2 linked regions of the Nothobranchius furzeri genome follow. The protein of the gene in region 1 interacts with the protein of each later gene in a biochemical or structural test. Links are inferred from orthologs where the notes say so. Each region holds a gene or a part of one and is shown on either strand. Other genes may lie near its edges.

What was found.
Region 2: the proteins of med23 (region 1) and elf3 form a complex in vitro, tested with the Homo sapiens proteins (4 studies listed by BioGRID, with this or other methods). The link is inferred for Nothobranchius furzeri from reciprocal best matches to the Homo sapiens genes MED23 and ELF3.

What each region holds. Positions count from the first base shown.
Region 1 is NC_091742.1:26,114,507-26,124,632, forward strand, and holds the start of med23 (mediator of RNA polymerase II transcription subunit 23), read left to right. Parts: upstream 1-4,021; 5' UTR 4,022-4,104; intron 4,105-4,713; exon of another isoform or gene 4,714-4,847; 5' UTR 4,848-4,849; coding exon 4,850-4,900; intron 4,901-5,177; coding exon 5,178-5,209; intron 5,210-5,340; coding exon 5,341-5,428; intron 5,429-5,512; coding exon 5,513-5,637; intron 5,638-5,912; coding exon 5,913-6,024; intron 6,025-6,262; coding exon 6,263-6,361; intron 6,362-6,908; coding exon 6,909-7,010; intron 7,011-7,088; coding exon 7,089-7,158; intron 7,159-10,126. Other genes in the region: il20ra (interleukin-20 receptor subunit alpha), read right to left, coding at 908-1,052, 1,138-1,313, 1,443-1,642, 1,756-1,879, 3,818-3,866. UniProt on the Homo sapiens protein: Required for transcriptional activation subsequent to the assembly of the pre-initiation complex. Component of the Mediator complex, a coactivator involved in the regulated transcription of nearly all RNA polymerase II-dependent genes.
Region 2 is NC_091743.1:3,095,674-3,105,982, reverse strand, and holds elf3 (ETS-related transcription factor Elf-3), read left to right. Parts: upstream 1-3,383; 5' UTR 3,384-3,470; intron 3,471-3,575; 5' UTR 3,576-3,582; coding exon 3,583-3,715; intron 3,716-4,198; coding exon 4,199-4,432; intron 4,433-5,133; coding exon 5,134-5,241; intron 5,242-5,322; coding exon 5,323-5,433; intron 5,434-5,520; coding exon 5,521-5,601; intron 5,602-5,669; coding exon 5,670-5,789; intron 5,790-5,866; coding exon 5,867-6,062; intron 6,063-6,813; coding exon 6,814-6,919; 3' UTR 6,920-9,119; downstream 9,120-10,309. UniProt on the Homo sapiens protein: Transcriptional activator that binds and transactivates ETS sequences containing the consensus nucleotide core sequence GGA[AT]. Acts synergistically with POU2F3 to transactivate the SPRR2A promoter and with RUNX1 to transactivate the ANGPT1 promoter.

The sequences.
Region 1 (10,126 bases):
GGATATTAAAATCCCCCCAAAATAATCCCCCGTTCGTCTTTTGGAAGCACATCAGCTAAAAGATTGGAGAATTCATTTTTAAAATCCTTATTGTATCTTGGTGGCCTGTAACAAAGTAAAACAAGGATGGGAGGAGAGAAGCCCAGCTCTAATACCGATACTTCAAAACTGGTCGGAGCCATCAGCCCAGCAAGAGCTTCAAGTGGGAGATTAGAACAGTACAGGGACAGCAGGAACGCCGGGACCTTGTCAAACAGGCGACCAAACGTCAGCCTGTGATACAGAGACATGGGCCAAACGGAAGGGGAGGAGACTTGGGCTCTATTCAACATTCGATATTTATTGCTGTTGCAAACAGGAACAAAAGTGGACAATCACCTTTAGCTTGCATTTCTGTTTGTTTTTTCTGTGAAAATATGTAGTCCAAAATGGCTGCTGCATCCAGCCGACTCAAGCACCAACCTGGCTGGAACTAGGCCAACTTTACAGATACTGAGCTAAACTTTGGAGTCATACTTGCTGACAGCCATCCAGAGAACTACACGTTGTGTAACATCTTTGCATAAAACTTTTACATTACCGTTCAAAGGCTACCCAGTCAACCTGTCGCAAAACCATTGGTATGAATAGGAAAGGCCCTTTCACGATCACAGACAAATCACTCAAGCTCTTACAATACCCGTGTGAACGCTTTTACTTAAATTTGAACAAAAATCTTATATGTGATCATTACATACAACAAAGGCATAATCGTTAGGTAAAAAAATTCTACCAATCTAGATGCGACTTGTGGATAAACAAGTCTAGCATTTGCTTCTCTTTGGTTTTTGTTCGCTGTTCGGTCACATTTCTTTCTACCATCCTCAAAACAAAACATTCTCATTAACAGGAAGTCACACGGTTGTACCTTTAGGCGTAGTGAGGCAGTGCCAAGGTGAAGACTCGCTTCGCATTTCTATGGAGACGAACCTCGACTTGGCAGAGAAGCAGTATTTTGTATTGTACGCCATCAGCTGATATTTGTACGGGCTGGCGGAGACTGGGATATGATGCTGTGAAAGTACATAGTACATACATCGTATGTATGTGGTTTGTGCTTCAAGTGTTCAGCAAACATAACCAATGAACTTTACTCACCATCTTGTCGAGGTAGGTGTTGTGGATGAAGAGGTTATAAGATGTGTGAGGGTAGATTGAGTTCATGGAGACGGCTAGTGAGTGGTTGGTTGGTGAATACCTCATGGGTCCCACCAAAGTGACGGTTGCACTGTTGTTCTCTATTTCCACGGTAACTGACGGGGGGCCAAAAACAGCTACGTGGACAGACAAGGTACATTGTTTTAGCACTTTTTTTTTTTACTAAAACACTCCAAATCAAATCTTCCCCAAACAAAATATTCTATAAGTGAAGATAAAGGCTCCGCCTACTTATTTATTCTTACTTTCTGTCTTTAGATCGTATCTCTGCGTCTCAGCCCACTTTGAAGATGATTTTCTTCGCAAGGCACGAACTCTGGCATAATATGCCTGTTCCAGATCCTGCATCTGAGCGCTCAGATCACACCAAGTCCCGCCTATATCCATGCACTGCCTCACTGGTCTCCAGAGTATTCCTTTTCTTTTGTTGGTGGTTTCACCATAGCTGCAAAACACAGAGCAGATCCACTCGGGCTGAAAATGACCATCATTTCATGACCAAGTTACTTGTCAGGGTAGCTTAAGTACACATTCGTCATTAGCATCAAATAGACTCACATGGCATATTCCACTGTAAAGCGTGTGTCTTCTGGTGAACCATGCCCTGGAGACCAGTGCAGCACGGTCCTTAGATTCACAGAGGAGAAGTGAACACCAGTGGGGATGGGCAGACGGGCTGAGGCTGAAGCAAAGAAAGGAATGAAAGAGTGGACATTTAGAAACATAAACACTGCTTTAAGTGAAGGCTTTCTTTGTGTTTAGATCAGATTCAGTGTTTTAGGAGCCAAACCGCTAACAATTTCCTTCATGCATATTTGTGAGATTTTCCTGGTAATGGTAAATGGCCTGTATTTGTGTAGCACCTTGTAGGGCTTTACAACCCCCCAAGGCACGTCACAACACATGGTAAATGGCCTGTACTTGATGTAGCGCCTTACAGAGTCCTGGAATCCTCCAAGGCGCTTTACAATATGATCAGTCATTCACCTATTCACACACTGGTGAGCTACCATGTAGCCACAGCTGCCCTGGGAGCGCACTGACAGAGGCGATGCCTGCTATACACCGGCACCATCAGTCCCTCTGACCAGCACCAGGCAAGGTGGGTTAAGTTTCTTGCCCAAGGACAGAACAGCAGAATCCTTCAGTGGGACTGAACCTGGTGTAATTGCTCAACCTTAATTCTGTCTTTTCCCTTTAGCTCTAAATCATAATTTTATTTGTGTATACCTTAATTTGTGTTCTCATGTTTGTTTTTGTTGTGCTGTTTCATGCTAATTGTAAAGCGCACTGAATTGCCCCATGTTTGAAATGTGCTACATAAATGAAGCTGCCTTGCTTACAACCTTCCGATTCCTCCTAAGCTACTGCTGCCCCAATCACAATAAAATGTACTTGAATGGAGTGGAGTAATTGCATCTCTGTTTACTTGAAAGGAAACAACACGATCTTTATGAAACGTGCATTACAGGAACTACGGTGTAAACCTATACTGGCTGACAGCTAAGCACCCATTATTATCATGAAACCAGACTGGGTCACATGAAACAACTTAAAACTCAAAACTACTCACTTGAAATTTTATACTAAATTAATTGAAATGTTTGGAAACTTTGTGCAAATATATATATATGTGCAAATATATAAATATATATAAATATATATATATATATAATTTATTTTTTGGGTTGCAATGCATTCGAGCATTCTCTCGAGTTCATAAACTATAGCTCAGGAGGTTAGGTGGGTTGCCCAGTAATCGGATGGTTGCAGGTTTGATTCCGGCTCCCACCAGAGAAGAGAAGGGTCAGGTGCTGTTGCCAGAGAATGCTGCTCTTGTGTCCTTAGGCAAGACACTACCGGTCTTTCCGGCTGTGGTGGTCGGAGGGACCGGTGGCGCCACTGTATGGCAGATGGGCAGACCTCGCCTCAGTCCGTGCGCTCCAGGGTGTGTGTGTGTGTGTGCATGGACGTAATTTTTGGGGGGGGCGGGGGGACATGTCCCCCCCATTTTTTCCAAAGTCAAGTTTGGACCCCTGCACTTTTTACCATCCAAAAACAATATTACGCTATATTAAATTGACACTCGTTGAGGTCTAGGACCAGGCAGAAAACAACCGTTTGTGTTGAAGCCTGTTTCCCATTAGAACATACTGTAAAGACCCCCCCCCCCTTGTGTCCCCCCCACTTCTAAAGTGAAAATTACGTCCATGTGTGTGTGTGTGGGGGGGATGACTGATGATTGTGAAGCGCCTTGGGGGGTTGTTAAACCCTAAGAAGGTGCTACAAATCCATGTACCATTTACCAAAGAGACAGAATCGGAGAGAAAATTGCTGCATTAAATAAATTTCATTTTAGTAATATATTCGACCTCTTTCTGGTGTTTTCTAGCGTTTTGAATGACTAATTAAAATTCCTTGTGATCTCAGAGTTCTGTGGTAATTTGCGTAAACATGAAGTTTTCTGTTTTGTTCATTAATTTGATGTTTTACTGACTGGATTGTAGCCTACTTTAAATGAAACACACTTCTCGCATGTTTAGCAACAACAAAGCAAGGCAAGATTATTATTTTTTTCATAAAACCTTTTTTTCTCGCGTTAATAGTTTAACAGTCTCACCTGCGGTCCGCAGAACCACAAATCCGATCAAGACGATCTCAGTCCACATGTCGGTGTGGATCGACCATTTTAATGAGAAATCTGCGGTTTCTCACCCGTTGATCCTCTCCTGTTTCTCCTCGGGTTTAAACGCAATCAGATTAAAAACACAAGAAGATAAAAGTGTCTTAAGTTGGAGGGAACGCGGACTGCCACGATTAAACCTGTAAAGCCACAAAAATGATGCCTGGTTTCCGTGTTTAGGAAGGAATGTGATCTCACTGGTCGGAGCACATACACCTGAGCAGGTAGTTATGTGGAATGGTTCTTCACGCGCCTCTAGCGTCTGCCTTTAAGTTTTTCATGTTCTTTTTTATAATGGTTAATAATATGAATTTATATTTTCACATTTTCAAACAGTTTTTGTGACATTTACTTGATTGCAAAAGCAGTGATTTGACGGTTTTCACATTGTGCCTCTCCCTTTTCTGTATTTTTGTTTAGTTTCCCCTTCTTTTATTTCCTCAGTGACTTACTGTGTATCATGATGCAATTGTACAATGGGATAATTATTAACTAGCTAAAGAGATGATAAAACCATCTTTGCTGTGTCCAAAAGATTTATATTAGACCTGGAAGAACATCAAAGTTTATTCACTCAGATCTAGAATATCTTATCTGTCTGAAAGACGTAAAGTGACAAAGAAAACAGAAACACATCTTGACACATACATCTAGTCACCAATATTTACATCTCTTCAGTTGAAAGTTTGTGTTTCACTCATTAATAAAACTTAAAGAGAAATAGACTATAATAATTTAACAATAATAATTTAATTAATAGACTTTTATGACGATTCATAAGAGCCAAAAGACTAAGTGAGGCGGAATCTTTGTCTCGTGCTTCGATGCATACCCGGAACGTTTTCGTGGTCGGTCGCGTGTCTCATGTCTCATGGCGGAATTTGTTGCTGTTAGCATCTAGCTTGCTGGCAGCTCTGTGTTAGGTTCCCTGTGATGTTTGGATAAAAATACACGTTTCATATCGCAGAGATGGCGCTTTCCATGGAGACGCAGCTGCAGAGCATCTTTGAAGACGTTGTGGTAAGTTGCAATTTCTTAAACCGGTTAACAATTTAGCTAACGTTTATTAGCATCTCAAAGAGTGTTAGCCTATTCACTGACACTTACTGAATTTAGCATACACTTTCAAATTATTGATCTAAATCATAAATGCAGTAATTCAGAAGATTAATGGGGAAATATATGTGAATGTAAAACTGTTTTAGTTTTATTTTAATTGTCTAAATTGGACATTTATGTGTTTTTCTAACTTTGTTGGTGTTAGTAAATCAGCAATCATATTTTCCTCTGTTTACAGAAAACTGAGCTGATAGAGGAGGCTTTTGCAGGGTGAGGTGGCTCAAAATTCATTTTCACACTTATTAATTATATAAAAACTGGACAAGAGGGCTCGGCTTAGAGTTTTTTTGTGCTTTTATTTGCCGTTAAAATGGGGTAGTAAACATAAATGCTGTTTTTAGGATGTTCATGGACACTCCAGAGGATGAGAGGACTAAACTGATCAGCTGTCTTGGAGCATTTAGACAATACATGGGAACCCTGCCGCAGGTTCTACATTTGTACTGATAATTAATCTGTCGTTTTTGTAAAAATAAATAATTAAAATTTATTTCACTTCTGTCATTCCACCAGGACTCCCATGAGAAGTGTGTGCAATGGATTGTGCATTTCATACACAGTCAGCACAGTCCCAAAAGAATCTCATTCCTGTACGACTGTTTAGCGATGGCAGTGGAGACCAGTTTGTTGCCACCAAGGTTCATACTCACACTCATCCAGGGCACATTGCATCTTATGCCTTCATTTAGACGAAAATACGTCATAATTACTCCAGTGATATTTTTGATGTGACTGCAGAATTACTGTCTGTTCTTTTTCCTGAGGAATACAGTAAACTAAATTAGATTTTTTTTATGTTATTTCGTATTTGGTGACTTTCATGTTACTGTTGTTAAAGCTGATTAAGCACATGCACATCAGTGTATTTTAAATGTATTAAACATGCATCTAAGAGAGGCTGTTTTGTTTTTAGGATGGTGTGTGTTGCTTTGATAACCTCGAAGAGTTTTCAGTGGGAAAAGACGCAGCTGTGGGCCTTAACTTTCAAACTGATCCACAAGATAATCGGTGGCGTGGACTACAAGGTTTCTGACACTCAACGCCAGATGCAGTTTAAAAAAAATGCCTTCTTAATGAATATGCTGTGCAGGAAAATGTTGTTCTTGTTTATTTGTTGTGGTCAGTAGCAGATGTGCCTTGTAACTCTGCTGAAGGTTTTCGTACTTTAAAAGAGGTTTGAATACTAATTTTTGAAGTTTATGAAGGACAATATCAGTAAATAAAAATTCTAAATCGACACCTTTGCTTTGATCTGTGTTTTAGGGGGTTCGTGATCTGCTGAAAGCTGTACTGGATAAAATACAATCCATCCCTACGACTGTCAGTTCTGCCATAGTCCAGCAGCTTCTTGCTGCTAGAGAGGTGCCCTCCTTTCTGTTTACATCTTCAGTAGTTATGTTTAACTCATTCACTGCCAGCCGTTTCCTGATCGCTAACGGCCTTCGCTGCCAGCGTTTCTCGCCGTTTTTACTGTTTTTTAACAGTCACAGAACGTTTCACGCTAGCATGATGTCGATGCCAAAACAACCTAAACAAAGAGGAGACTCACCTCTTACATCAGGAAGAATCCGTGTGTTTAGAGCGTCATCCGTTCTTTCATAATCCGTTGTCGAATTGTGATCGGCAGACGCTTTTCCGGTTCGCGCCTCACTTTTTTTTACAGGAACGCCCCAAAACAATCTCCTAACACATGGATGTGTTGCTTCCTGATCATGTGATCTGTGACGTATGTGGATGAAGATCGGCTTCAGGGCTGAGATGTTTGTTCTCTCAGCGCGGGGGCTCGTTCCGATGCTCAAACAGTAAAAAAAAATGCAAATTGGCAGTGAATGAGTTAAAAGACATTTTGTGTAAATATGACTAAAAATGCCAGTTTTATTAACATGTTTACATTTGTTTCATATTCCAGGTGGTTGAATATATCCTTGACAGAAACGCCTGCCTCTTGCCTGCATATTTCGCTGTTACAGAAATCAGAAAACTTTATCCAGAGGGACAACTCTCACACTGGGTGAGTAGATCTCTTTATTTTATTTTCCTCTCATTGCATTTTTAAAATCATATCTTAATAGTCAGTATGTTTCTGTAGCTTTTAGGCAGTTTGATCTCAGACTTCGTGGACAGTTTTAGACCTACTGCAAGAATTAACTCCATCTGTGGTAAGACACACACCCAACGTTCATATCATTTATTAGTTTTGCAATAAAAAATCCATCTACGTGAATAAATGTAATCGTAAACGGCCTTCAAACAAACACGTGTAAAAAATATGAGAAATAAAAGAAATTCAATAAGAGGAACAACGGCAAAAGACGACAGGGAAGTATAAAATATCAAACAATCTCCTAAATGGGGACTGTTGTTGTTTCAAACACTTTTTAGTTATCTGTGTTGCTTTCATTAGCTTGTTTTCCATTTCCAAAGAGTTTTGACTCATTCCGCCTCGACACTAAAGCCAACAGGATTTTTAAAGATGTAGAATTACTGGTAAATAAACTAGAATGCACGTTATTTACATTTGTCAAATACAAAATACTAAATTCTCCATTTCTGTGGTGCCATAAACATTAATATATTTTACACATGTTAAATTATTATTTATAATAAATCACTTGGTGAATAACCTTCAACCTTTTTTATCCTATTGGCTTTTTGTGTTTATGTCATTTTCTCTTTATTTTTGCCTCAACGAGAGCCGTGTGAACTCATCCCCTCCTCTAGTGCTCGTCTGAGAACGAGGCGGGGAGGTCGTGTTATTTAACAAGCTGAGGGAAGTAAAGTACAAAAATAAATCCATTAATCAAGATAAGAAAAGCGTCAGTTTGACAGTGTTTACATTGTAAAACAAAACAAACACATTCTCACTTGTTCAACCCCCATAGGAAGGTGCTGATTCAGAGCTTAAATGCGTTTTTATGTGCATGAAAATTGATCTTGTAAGTTTCAGTAAACATGATTATTGTTGTTATGTCATGCATTTAGGTTTTTTTTTTTCATTTCAAATATATTCCTGTTGTGGTTTGTTTGTTGAATTCATTATTTAATTCTTTTATTTGGCCTCATTCAGGCTAAGGTGACCAGTGAATTGTGTTTAAATAAGTGATGCACCAACATGAAATTTTTAGACCAATATCCGATATTAAGATCACTGTTTTGACCGATAACCGATATTTGCCGATACCGATATACTGACATTAATGATTCTAAAATCAGCAGATTTTGTGTAAAATGAACATTATTAAAGCTGAATTTACATTAAAATGTGCACACACCACACACACATACACTTCAGAGATGATTACAATCACTGTCACATGACTAAAGAAATACACATCACCTTCTCAACCTCTGAAACAGGCAAACAAATGGAGACAAGATGGAAAAAATATCGGTTGTTAATATCGGCCTGATTTTATTTATTGGACCGATATTTTAAAGAATGATTAACATCAGCCGATACCGATATTGATGCTAAATGCAACTTAAAAAAATTATTTAGCATGTCTGTTTTTACACAAACCAAGATCAGAAATACCTTAAAAGGCCTGATTAAGTGAACAGAAATATGCATTCATATCCATTTATTTCCCCAGTTTAGAAAATATGTAGTTTGCTTTGTCTTCAATTTAAGCAAAGTATCCTCTCTGATGTCTGGATGAGAAAATGTCTAAATTTTGTTCATTTATTGATGAAATATATACGTATACTTTTAGATTTGTATCATTATATTTTTAAGATGATGTCTAATTAGAATTAAATGAGATTATTTAATAGTGGAATGTTTTCTCCTATAGTTAGGGATGCAACAATACCACTTTTTTCCAAACCGATACGATATCTGAGTACTCACCGATACGATTACCAATACCGATACTTCTACCACACAAAAAAATGCAATGGATTGGAAAACAGATTTTATTTTCTTCTCTTCTTTCACCAGGAAAAGACTGTGAGGTAGATGAAAAGTAAAATATATGAATGGAAATCATCATAAAACTAAAATATTAGGTGAACAGAAATGACAAGTTACAGTGAAGCCATTTTCAAGCAACTGCATTGGTATCGGTTAACTTTTACCGATACCGATACTGGTAGTGGTATCCCAGTATCGTATCGGTGCATCCCTACTTATAGTGAGCTTAAGTCTCCTCCCTTTCTGGTTGGGTGATGGGTCAGAAAAAGGACTTCAAGTTAACGAGAGCTGCAGGGCTAAAAGACCTATTATCTAATCTGCTCAACTCCTGGATCGCACATATGATGTGCTTCAATTAGAAGTGATGATGTGTGCTTCGACCACGCCTGCCATGTATTCTGAGAATTATCAGCTTGTAAATGTTCATAATTAGCGTGACTACAAATCAGATATCGATACGTCGCAATAATGACGTCACCACAGAATCTCCTCTCCCCTAGCGTAGCTGCTACTCGACACATGGCCAGATTTATGGTGGTTCTTTCCTCCTGAAGGACGGATTTGAAGTTCGCTGAATTTACATCCGTCGTCCCCGTTTGTCTCCGTGTCTGGTTCGATGACGGTGATGCACGTTGGTAGTCCTGGACTTATTTTCACACAAAACCTAAAATAGCATTTACCCTCGTTCAAAAATAAGCACTTTCTTGGTATCAAAACACTTCTAGGCGACGGTGGCACAGGAGTTGAGAGCTCGCCCCGTAACCGGAAGGTTGCAGGTTCGAGCCCCGCTCAGTCTGTCGCTGATGTTGTGTCCTTGGGCAAGACGCTTAACCCACGTTGCCTGCTGGTGGTGGTCTGAGGGACCGGTGGCGCCAGTGCTCGGCAGCCTCGACTCTGTCAGTGCGCCCCAGGGCAGCTGTGGCTACATCGTAGCTCATCCCCACCAGTGTGTGAATGTGTGTGTGAATGGGTGAATGACTGGTTGTGTTGTAAAGCGCCTTGGGGGGTTCCAGGACTCTAGAAGGCGCTATATCAAATACAGGCCATTTACCATTTACCATCCATGGCACATAACAAGCGGGATCGGAAAAGAGCGTTTTTAGCCCCGTTGACTCGCATTCATTGTTTCGTTCCTCCGGGGACCGATGGTCCAGCAGTAGATAGGCGTGGCTTAAGCTCCCTATGAGAATCAGGCCTCAGTCTGATTATATTTT
Region 2 (10,309 bases), on another chromosome or scaffold:
ACCTTTCTTTGAGAAAAACTGTGTGACATACTGTCTGCCTGTCCTCTTTCTCCTTTCTTCGACCCAGACTTTGTTCTTGCAAACATAGTTTTACTGCAGCCTTGGCGCACTCTGCTGTCTGACTGCTGCGTGAGCTGGCTTCGCCTGCTACACGCCCCTCGGCCAGGTGGACTGAACCATTTTATTTTGTGTTTCAAATTAATTAGTCAAAATAAAGTAGGGACCTCTGAATAAATATGCATTTCATAAAGACTAAAAGATTTTTTGTTTAATGTCTTGAATGAGAAAAATACTGCAAAGTAAAGTACTTGTGATTTTTAAACTAATTTTTTTTTATTCAACTTTGAAACGGTTTTGGGCCCCTGACAGCTGTGGGCCCTTAGAATCTTCCTAATCTTTCACCGCTTTACGGCGCCCCTGTACGTGCGTATGCATATGGAACATTTACAACAAACACCATTGTTTCAGGCTAAATCCCAGTATGGTAGCAAAAGTGGCAAACAGGACAGTAATGATAATTCGGTTATTGATTCACAACTAAAGGCAACAGACACCGGGTCTCGTTTGGTATGAAGTAAAAAAAAATCTTCCAACTGTTTAATCCTTATCCTCCGCAGTTCCACGTTGCAACACTGAGCTAACTGCTAAAAACATTAGCACTCTACAAGCAACTTGCGGTTAGGAAGTCGAGTCTGGGGACTTTGAGTTGGGCTCTCAGATCGCTGGTGCTGAGGTCGCTGAGGTGGTTATAAAGCTCCTCTGTGGCAAGGCCCTGGGGGTGGATGAGATCCGGCCGGAGCTCCTTAAGGCTCTGGATGTTGTGGGGCTGTGTTGGCTGACGCGGCTCTGCAATATCGTGTGGACATCAGGGGCAGTCCCACTGGACTGGCAGACCGGGGTGGTGGTCCCCTTATTTAAAAAAGGGGGCCGCTGGGTGTGTTCCAACTACAGGGGGATCACACTCCTGAGCCTTCCTGGTAAGGTCTATTCAGGGGTTCTGGAGAGGAGGGATGGATTTCTGTTTATCTTGTATTTATTGTTTTTACTCTTTTTAACTTCTTTTACCGGTTATTGTAGTGGATATCTTTTATGTTTATTTTAGTGTCAGCACTTTGGTCGAGCTTTGTATTGATTTTAAAGTATTTTATAAATAAAGATGCTGTGCTATGCCCACTTTCAAGTGAAGTACACTTCTCTTTTGACATTTTATTTCTTGTGTTTGTTCACGATCTATATTTTGTTTGTATGCCATCTCTCCAACTTCACGATTTACCTGTCACCACATTTACTGGCACTGGCCCAACTGGTCCAAACACTGGTTCTCCCAATAAGATCGCATACAGGCCAGAATGCAAATGTGCCAGAGCTTTTCTTCTTTACTTTTTTAGCCTCTCCCTTTCTGCTCCACCTTTCCTGGCCCATCATTCACCAATATGTGCAAATTCAACATAAAAACAACAAAGCTAATTTCATGAAGTTAAAAGCATTAACTCAGTCTTACCTTTTGTTTATTTGTTTATTTAAGGATCCCCATTAGTCCTCACAATAGTGAAAACTTCCTGGTTTACCTGATAAAAGAAACAAAAAGAAAAAGAAAACACACACACATACAGTGTAGGATTGAAAATACACTGTTGCATGTACAATGTAAGAAAAACACAAGAAACACCTATAATCAACCTCATAAAACAAATATCATAAAAAAACACTAGAATCAAAATTCACTAAGAAGAAAAAATATATAATAATAGTAAATAAATAAATGAATAAAAGAAAAAATGCATTTAAAATTAGATCAATGAGTAAATAAAACAATAACAAAAACAAGGTGTTAATTCTATAAAGCTAGTTGAAATAGCTGAGCCTGTTGTCTGATATAAACTTATATTTTACAAATTTCTTAAGTTTATATCAGACAACAGACTTAAACCTTTGCTGGTTTAAGGTTATAACAATCTGTGTTATAGTAAAAACATTCACTTTTTTACGTGCCGGACAGTTCAGAAGTCTCTGATGCCACATTCCATCATGTTCTGGTTCTTCATAAGAACAAAACTCCACGAGGTGAACTCAGCTGCTCTACAACAGCACAGGACGATGAACTGTGGAGAGTTTCCGGTTCTGTCCGGACCTGAGCTAGACTCTGCCCTGCTGACTTCTGCGTGCGTCTTAATGGGTGCTGTACCCCTGCGCCCAAAGGCTCTCCTATTCTTTGTACTGGAGCATGCATGTGCCAGTTCACGATGTGTGGCCTATGGTAGAGACTGCTGTGCCCAAAAGTAACAGGAAATATGTCACAAGACGTAAGACGTAGTAAAAGTGTAAGTAACATTTTTAACTTTATTTTCTCTCTAAGTGTTTTTCTCCCCAGAAGAAGCTACAACGATGTTCTGCTGAGCTGTGGTGGCCTCATGGAGGGGGCCATCGTCTAGCACACTGCTGCTAACCACTTAAACATTCTCCCTCTCCTGATAATAACTTTTTACTCTCTTTGACGTTGGATGTGCTACTACTAGTTTACCCGTTTAATTATAGATCCACTAGGATAATCACAATAAAGTTTATCTCTCACCAAGTAGAATATTTACTATTTATATAGTAAATAAATAATATAATTAATAACTAAACAGAATATTTACTAAGAAATCACAATGTTACCATACAAACACTACTTTGTGTGTGTGTGTGTGTGTGTGTGTGTGTGTGTGTGTGTGTGTGTGTGTGTGTGTGTGTGTTTGAGAAACCACAAAAAAACCAATCATCCCATCATCTCTCTGTTTTTGTGGTTCACGGGTCTAACTACATCTCCTGTTGGCTGTTGTCACATACCAACTATTTTTAGACACGGTGAAAACCAAACTATTCATGTCAGCCTACGTCCTTGTTAGTGAGAGTATCAGTGTACACACACACATGCACGCACGCACGTACACACACACGCACGCACGTGCGCACACACACACGCACGCACGTGCACACACACACACACACACACTTTTCTATAAAAATCCTGCCAGGCGAAAGAGCTACAGATCAGCCACGTTGGTAAAGGTGTAGAAATATTCAGTGGATTCAAATAGATTCTTAAATGATTTAAGAAGTAAGGACAGTTTTTACTTCAGTTATTTCTGGTGGAGATGGCATCCCACCAAGCAGCGCGGATCTTGAAACGTAAGTGTAAAGAATAATAATCTGATCTTTAATAATGCCAAATGTTTGGCTAAGAGGAAAACAGGCAGAGAGAGAGAAACAGGTCAGGTTTTGTTTTTTATCAGGTTCTCTGGAAAGTGTAGGAGGGGTGGAGGTGTGGTCATGTTCAGGTGGAATTCCCCTGAAGTCCAACCCCTTCAGATAAATGCAACAACAGGTGCATATTTGTGTAAAACAGGAACTGGTGAACCAGCAGAGGAGACGACTAAGACACAGAGGACAGACAGTCCGTATCCTACCGTGGTTTGTGCTGGAACTAGGTAAATTCTTGTCCGTTTCTATCATAGGTACATCTGTGGTGGTTGTGTTAGTTTAATTTGTGTTTCTACTGATTTTCAAAACAAGATGTCTCTTGTGTCCATTAGTGGCTAGATGTCTTCACCGTGCCTCAGCAGTATCCTGACTCACGCCAATTTCACCATGTATCAGTCCGGCTTGCCGGATGTCCTCCATCAGCAGACCAACCTGCAAAACCGGAACCTGGCGTTTGGCTACAACTCAAACGGTGAGAGAGTCTGCCGTCAGTGAGGGTTTGGTTTCTGGTCCTGGAGCTTTTATCACAAAGCAGAGGCTGTGGACCAGCTCTACTCTCACAGTGAACATGGACACCTGTTTCCAACACACAGATCATCTTGATCCAACTCACACTGACCTAAATCAGACAATGAGAGTTTAATGATTCGCCACAGAGTCAATGTTTAACTCAACACCACCATCAAAGCAGAGGAAGGTTTTTGTCACACTTACAACCTTCAGACCAGCTTCTAGCTTCACAGCACATTCTGCTGAGGAGGGTTCTCACGTTAAGAATAAAAACATGTTTCTGCTATTAAAAGAATACATGAAACAACAGACGTTTGGGATTGAAGATTGTTCTTTGATGGTCAAGACCATAAAAGGGAACAACCGTGGTTTGGTAGTTCCCTTTTATGGTCTTGATAAAAGGGGAACTTGTGACGAGTTCTGGGTTGTTACTGCGTCTCCTCAGCTCACACATACAAGCACCTCAACCCAATCTGCTGGACACCAACCCATGTCCTAGAATGGATCAGTGACCTTGTTGAGAGCATGAAGTTTGATGCTAGCACCCTGAGCCTGGCTTGTTGCTCCATCGATGGTCCCTCCCTCTGCTGCTTCGATCAGGAACAAATGATCACAATCTTCGGCCCACAGATTGGGCCTCACCTCAGTCAGAGCTTACAGGAATACAAGACTAAATATGGTAATCTGTCTGTCTGTCTGTCTGTCTGTCTGTCTGTCCGTCCGTCCATCTATCTATCTGTCTGTCTATCTATCATCTGTCTGTCTATCTGTCTGTCTGTCTATCTATCATCTGTCTGTCTATCTATCTATCTATCTATCTATCTATCTATCTATCTATCTATCTATCTATCTATCTATCTATCTATCTATCTATCTATCTATCTATCTATCTATCTATCTATCTATCTATCTATCATCTGTCTATCTATCTATCTATCTATCTATCTATCTATCTATCTATCTATCTATCTATCTATCTATCTGTCTGTCTATCTATCTGTCTATCTATCTGTCTGTCTATCTGTCTGTCTGTCTGTCTGTCTGTCTGTCTGTCTGTCTGTCTGTCTGTCTGTCTGTCTGTCTGTCTGTCTGTCTGTCTGTCTGTCTGTCTATCTATCTATCTATCTGTCTGTCTGTCTGTCTGTCTGTCTGTCTGTCTGTCTGTCTGTCTGTCTGTCTGTCTGTCTGTCTGTCTGTCTATCTATCTGTCTGTCTGTCTGTCTGTCTGTCTGTCTGTCTGTCTGTCTGTCTGTCTGTCTGTCTGTCTGTCTATCTATCTATCTATCTATCTGTCTGTCTGTCTGTCTGTCTGTCTGTCTGTCTGTCTGTCTGTCTGTCTGTCTGTCTGTCTGTCTAATCCGTTTGTCCTGTCTGACTCAGAGCTGCAGAGCCTGTCAGGACCAGAACTAAGTGAGACCTGCCAGCTCCTGGACACCTTCTTGGACAACCTGACATACCCTTTGCTCAGCACCATCAAAATAGGAGCAGGCATGGAAGACTGAAGGTTTAATGGCTGTGCTTGATTTAATATGTTAAAACTTATGGAGAGTTCACCCCTTTCTTCCACAGCTGATGAAGCAGTGAGGAGACAGTTTGAATACCACAACGACTACAGTCTGCCGCCGGAGTCTGTGAGCCCCGAGTCTCTGTCTGACAGTCAGTCTGAAAGCGAATGCAGCAGTTAGTATTTCATCATCTGGTTGTCTTTGATGTTTTTCCTCCTCAGGAGTCTTGTTGTTGGTTTCAAATGAAACGTCTCATTTTCAGGTGGCGTGTTCACCTTTATGAGCTCAACGGAGTCTGGCAGCAGCGAATCAGAACAAGAGTTCTCAAACGCTGGAATGTCAAGTGAGTGAGAAGAGAAACTTCTTTTGCATGGACCGTTCTTCACTCAAATGTTCCTGTTGTGTTGACAGAGGTTCACGTCAAAACAGAGGAAAGCGAATCCCGCGTGAAGCGTCCACGAGGACGACCTCCGAAAGCCAACAGGGAGCACATCAGCAGCATGTATGACACTGCAAAGAAAAGTAAACACGGTAAACATCAGTCAGGCGTCTGCACCTCTGCTTCAGCTTTGCGTTGTGGCACACATGCTGTTATTCATCTCCTGCAGCACCTCGTGGCTCTCACCTGTGGGAGTTTATCAGGGACATTCTGATCCACCCAGATAAGAACCAGGGCCTAATGAAGTGGGAAGATCGTCAGGAGGGCGTGTTTAAGTTCCTGAAGTCTGAGGCCGTGGCGCAAATGTGGGGCCAGAAGAAGAAGAACAGCAGCATGACCTACGAGAAGCTCAGCCGCGCCATGAGGTGAGTTTGTCCTGCAAAACCATTTCTTCACCTGCTACAGATTTTACCTGAATTGGAGCTCAAGCTAAATGTTTGAAAACACACACACACACACACACACACACACACACACACACACACACACACACACACACACACACACTAGGGGTTGCATGACTTAATTTTTTTTAAAGTCGACAGTCAAGTAATGAAAATTGAGTCGACTTCGACTAGTCGTTGATGACGTCATACACCTGAAGCGGGGGGGGGGGGGGGGGGTTCGCTGGAGTTTTTGACGATTAAAATGAAATTTAAAACTCTGCATGTTACTTGTGCGATTTAGATCCGGGGCTTTTCAGAAAACATCCGGGGCTTCAGCCCAAGTAGCCGGGCCTAACGCCGCCCCTGCTAGAAATGTTAGCTAAACAAACAACTTCCACTTCTTGCTGCTTTTCTTCAAAAGCCTGCTTCACGCACAGTGGCTACGGTTGTCTGACTGGGGTCTGCTACCGCAGTAATCGCGACGGTCTGACTGGTTGTTTTGCAGATTTGGTCTATTGGGAGGGGCAGCTCTGGTGTGAAGCAACAAGACCTGATGTCTGACTCAAAGTTCCTCCTGAGCCTCAAATGAAGGCACAGATAGTGTATTTGATTAGTTACAATTACAGAATATTATCAACACTGTAGTGACTGCTGTTCAGAAAGTCTGCTGGAAATGAAAAAGAGGTTTGTGTGTACGCTGAGTGATGAACTGATGCTCCTCCACCTACAGGTATTACTACAAGAGGGAGATTCTGGAGCGGGTTGACGGCAGAAGACTTGTATACAAATTCGGAAAGAATTCCAGTGGCTGGAAGACTGAGGAAATTGGCATGTGAGTCCTTCAGAGGGTAGAGGTCAGAGAGCCAGCCTGGCAGAAAAATCTTTTTTTTTTTGTTTAAACACAAACTTCCTTTTAGCGGGAAGGTGTTGCAGACAATGTAAACCGATGCGTTTGGCACTAGTAGGTTTTATGAACCCATATTTACGATTTTATATTGTTTTCTTTTTCACTGCAAAAACTACAAGCATCATTACATGGATGTTTTTTTAGTTTCTGTAAAGTGTCACATTGATATTTGTACAGAATGATCATATGGTTTTTATATAGGACTAGCTCCTCTCGCTGATAGCACCTACAGCCTCCATCCACTCTGTTGCAGACTGTGAGAACTTTCTGTCTTTCTTTGTGGACAAAGTCAATAAGGTTAGATCTAGCATCTCTCCTTCAGCCTTATCGCCGCCTCTCCCGACTCCAACCAGGCCCATCATCCTAGATAGCTTTGCACCTGTTTCTTTGCCTGAGTTAACCAAACTAGTTAACTCTATGAAGACCTCTGCATGCCCCCTCCACATCTCACCCTCATCCTTGTTTAAAAGTGCTTTTCAGTCCATCGGTCCCAGTGTGCTCTCTATAATTAATGCTTCTCTGGTCTCTGGTCAGGTCCCTGCTTACTTTAAGAACGCTGTAATCCACCCGCTTCTTAAAAAACCGAGTCTCGACCCCTCTCTCCATAGCAGCTTCAGACCCATCTCTAAACTTCCGTTCATCTCCAAGATCTTGGAAAAGGTTGTGGCTAAACAACTCACAGCTGCTCTTGATGAACATAACATCTATGATAGCTTCCAGTCAGGTTTTCGTAGAGCTCATTCTACTGAAACAGCTCTTCTTAGGGTCTCTAGTGACCTTCTGACCCACAGTGATGCAGGGGACTGTTCTGTTCTGGTCCTGCTGGACCTGACTGCAGCCTTTGACACTGTTGACCATCACCTGCTACTGGAGAGGCTGAGAGACTGGGTAGGCCTATCAGGATCTGCTCTGGAGTGGTTCTCCTCTTATCTCTCTGAGCGCTCCTTATCTGTGGCCGTCTCCAAGTTTAGGTCCTCCACCACCTCCCTTACCCATGGTGTCCCACAAGGTTCTGTGTTGGGGCCTCTGCTCTTCCTCCTCTATCTGCTTCCTCTTCAGCACATCCTGAGCTCCTTCAAATGAATCTCCTACCATCTTTATGCAGATGACATCCAACTGTACATCTCCTTTAAGCCCCATGAGATGTCTAAGCTGCAGCTGTTACACACCTGCTTAGACTCTACTAAAACCTGGGTGACTGGGAACCCTAACCCAGGCTAAAGACCAAAGAAGAAGAAGAAGAAAGTATCATTTCTATAGCGCCTCTCAAGATAAAAATCACGAGGCGCACAAAGGTGACAGATCATCTGCTGCTGTGGCCCCCAGACTCTGGAACTCTCTCCCCCTGAGCCTGAGATCAGTGGACTCAGTGGTCTCCTTTAAAAAGCAGCTGAAAACTCACCTGTTCAAGCTGGCTTCTGGTGTTACTTCATCACCCTCTCCATGTTCTGCTCTCCCTACCTATTCCACCTTCCTCAGGATCCACTGATTTCCCTCTTTCCTATTCACTCTCTCTCCCTTTTTCCCATGTTTTTCTTTTCTCCTTTAAAATTAATTTAAAATATTTCTAATCATTTTAGAAATGATTTTATACTTTAATATTTTTTTGCTTTTGTGAAGCGCCTCATGATTTTTATCTTGAGAGGCGCTGTATAAAAGATTGTCTTCTTCTTCTTCTTAGGTTTTGTTTGGGGTTATTTGGGAGTCTTCTACTTTATCAGTGTATTAGAAATGTCTTGTTTCCTTTCCCTTAACTGGTTTAAGGTTTTCCTTAACTGTAAACCTGTTGGGGATCAAAATGTAAGATGTAAAAAATACACCAGAATGGAGGGAAATTAATGTAGGTGATCTTATTTCAAATTAACAGTACACTACATAACTATTTGTATGACTTGCTATATAAAGTGTACCTCCACGATGTGTTAGATTTTTTTGGTGATGATTCAGTATGATCTGTGTATTTTGGAAATAAGTATAAAGTATCATGTAATTTGCATTGATGAATGTCAAAGTTTTTCAATGTGCTTCTCATTCACCCATGATGAAGTAAAACTGATTTTAAATCATTTTTTAAAGAATAGTTCACAACTGTGTTATGATACTTTATTTTAATAAAGCATGAAAAGCTCCATCTTTAGTTTGTTGCTTTTTTACCCAACATGACGCACCAAAACACGTCAAATGTAGTTTATGAAATTCTCTACTTGTATTTGGTGAAGGTTTCACCCTCTATGGCTGTTCGTTAGTGGGTCAATCCCACTGCATCAGCATTTCCTGAAGGGCTTTGGTCCATGCTCACCTGCTGGGTGGGCCTCCCCCAGTCAATTCAAATTTATTTATAAAGCGTGAAATCACGACAAGCGTCGACTCAAGGCGCTTCACATAATAAACATTCCAATACAGGCCAGTTCATTAAGCCAGTCAGTAAAAAGTTCCCTATAGAGCTCCGGGAGTTGACGTCACTTCTCCCGGCATGCAACAGTTCAAATCGAAACGGCGCCATATTGGCATGCAGAAGCCGGCAGCTGGACTATTTGTTATTGTCGGAAAACTCAATCAAACGGGAAATATGGTAGATTCCTGTTGTGCCCCAGGATGCAGAACAGACACGGACGACATAAGGAATGAGCCATCTACAGGATTCCCCAAGATCCGGAGCGCCGCAAACGTTGGATCATTGTAATAAAACGCGCTAGTGACCGGGCTAAAATGAAGCTGTGGGATCCCGAGAGTAAAGGTTTTCACTTATGCAGCGACCGCTTCATATCAGGTACTTAAACCAACGTTTCCTCAACTGTGTATGGTATTTATTTTAAATGCTTTTATTACGATTCTTAGTGGGCTTCCTAAACTTATTTTGGCGTGGCTTTTTCTGTCTTATTACTCATAGCAGCAAGTAAACATCACGTAAAACGTTGCCTCGTGAGTTCTGCGTGCTGCCGTTTACGTGTTTTATGATCACAGCAATTAACCGGCTAAGCTGTATTTAATTTTTAACCAATGGTTGATCAATTGTCAGATCACACAAAAAGCACTTTGGATTGCTATTATCTGTCTCACCGAGACTACTTACGTGTAAATCTGTTATTTGTCCGTCCATCCATCCATTTTCATCCGCGTATCCGGAGTCGGGTTGCGAGGGCAGTAGCGTGACTTCCCTCTCCCCAGCCACCGGAGCCAGCCTCCTCCGGCTGGGGGAATCCCAAGGGCTTCCCCAGTCAGGTCCGGTGTTGTGCCGGTAAGAAGCCCGCTCCGACAGCTTCTGGCGTCGGAGCGGGCAGTAGAGTCGAGAGTCCCAGACCTTCTCCCCAGCTCCTCC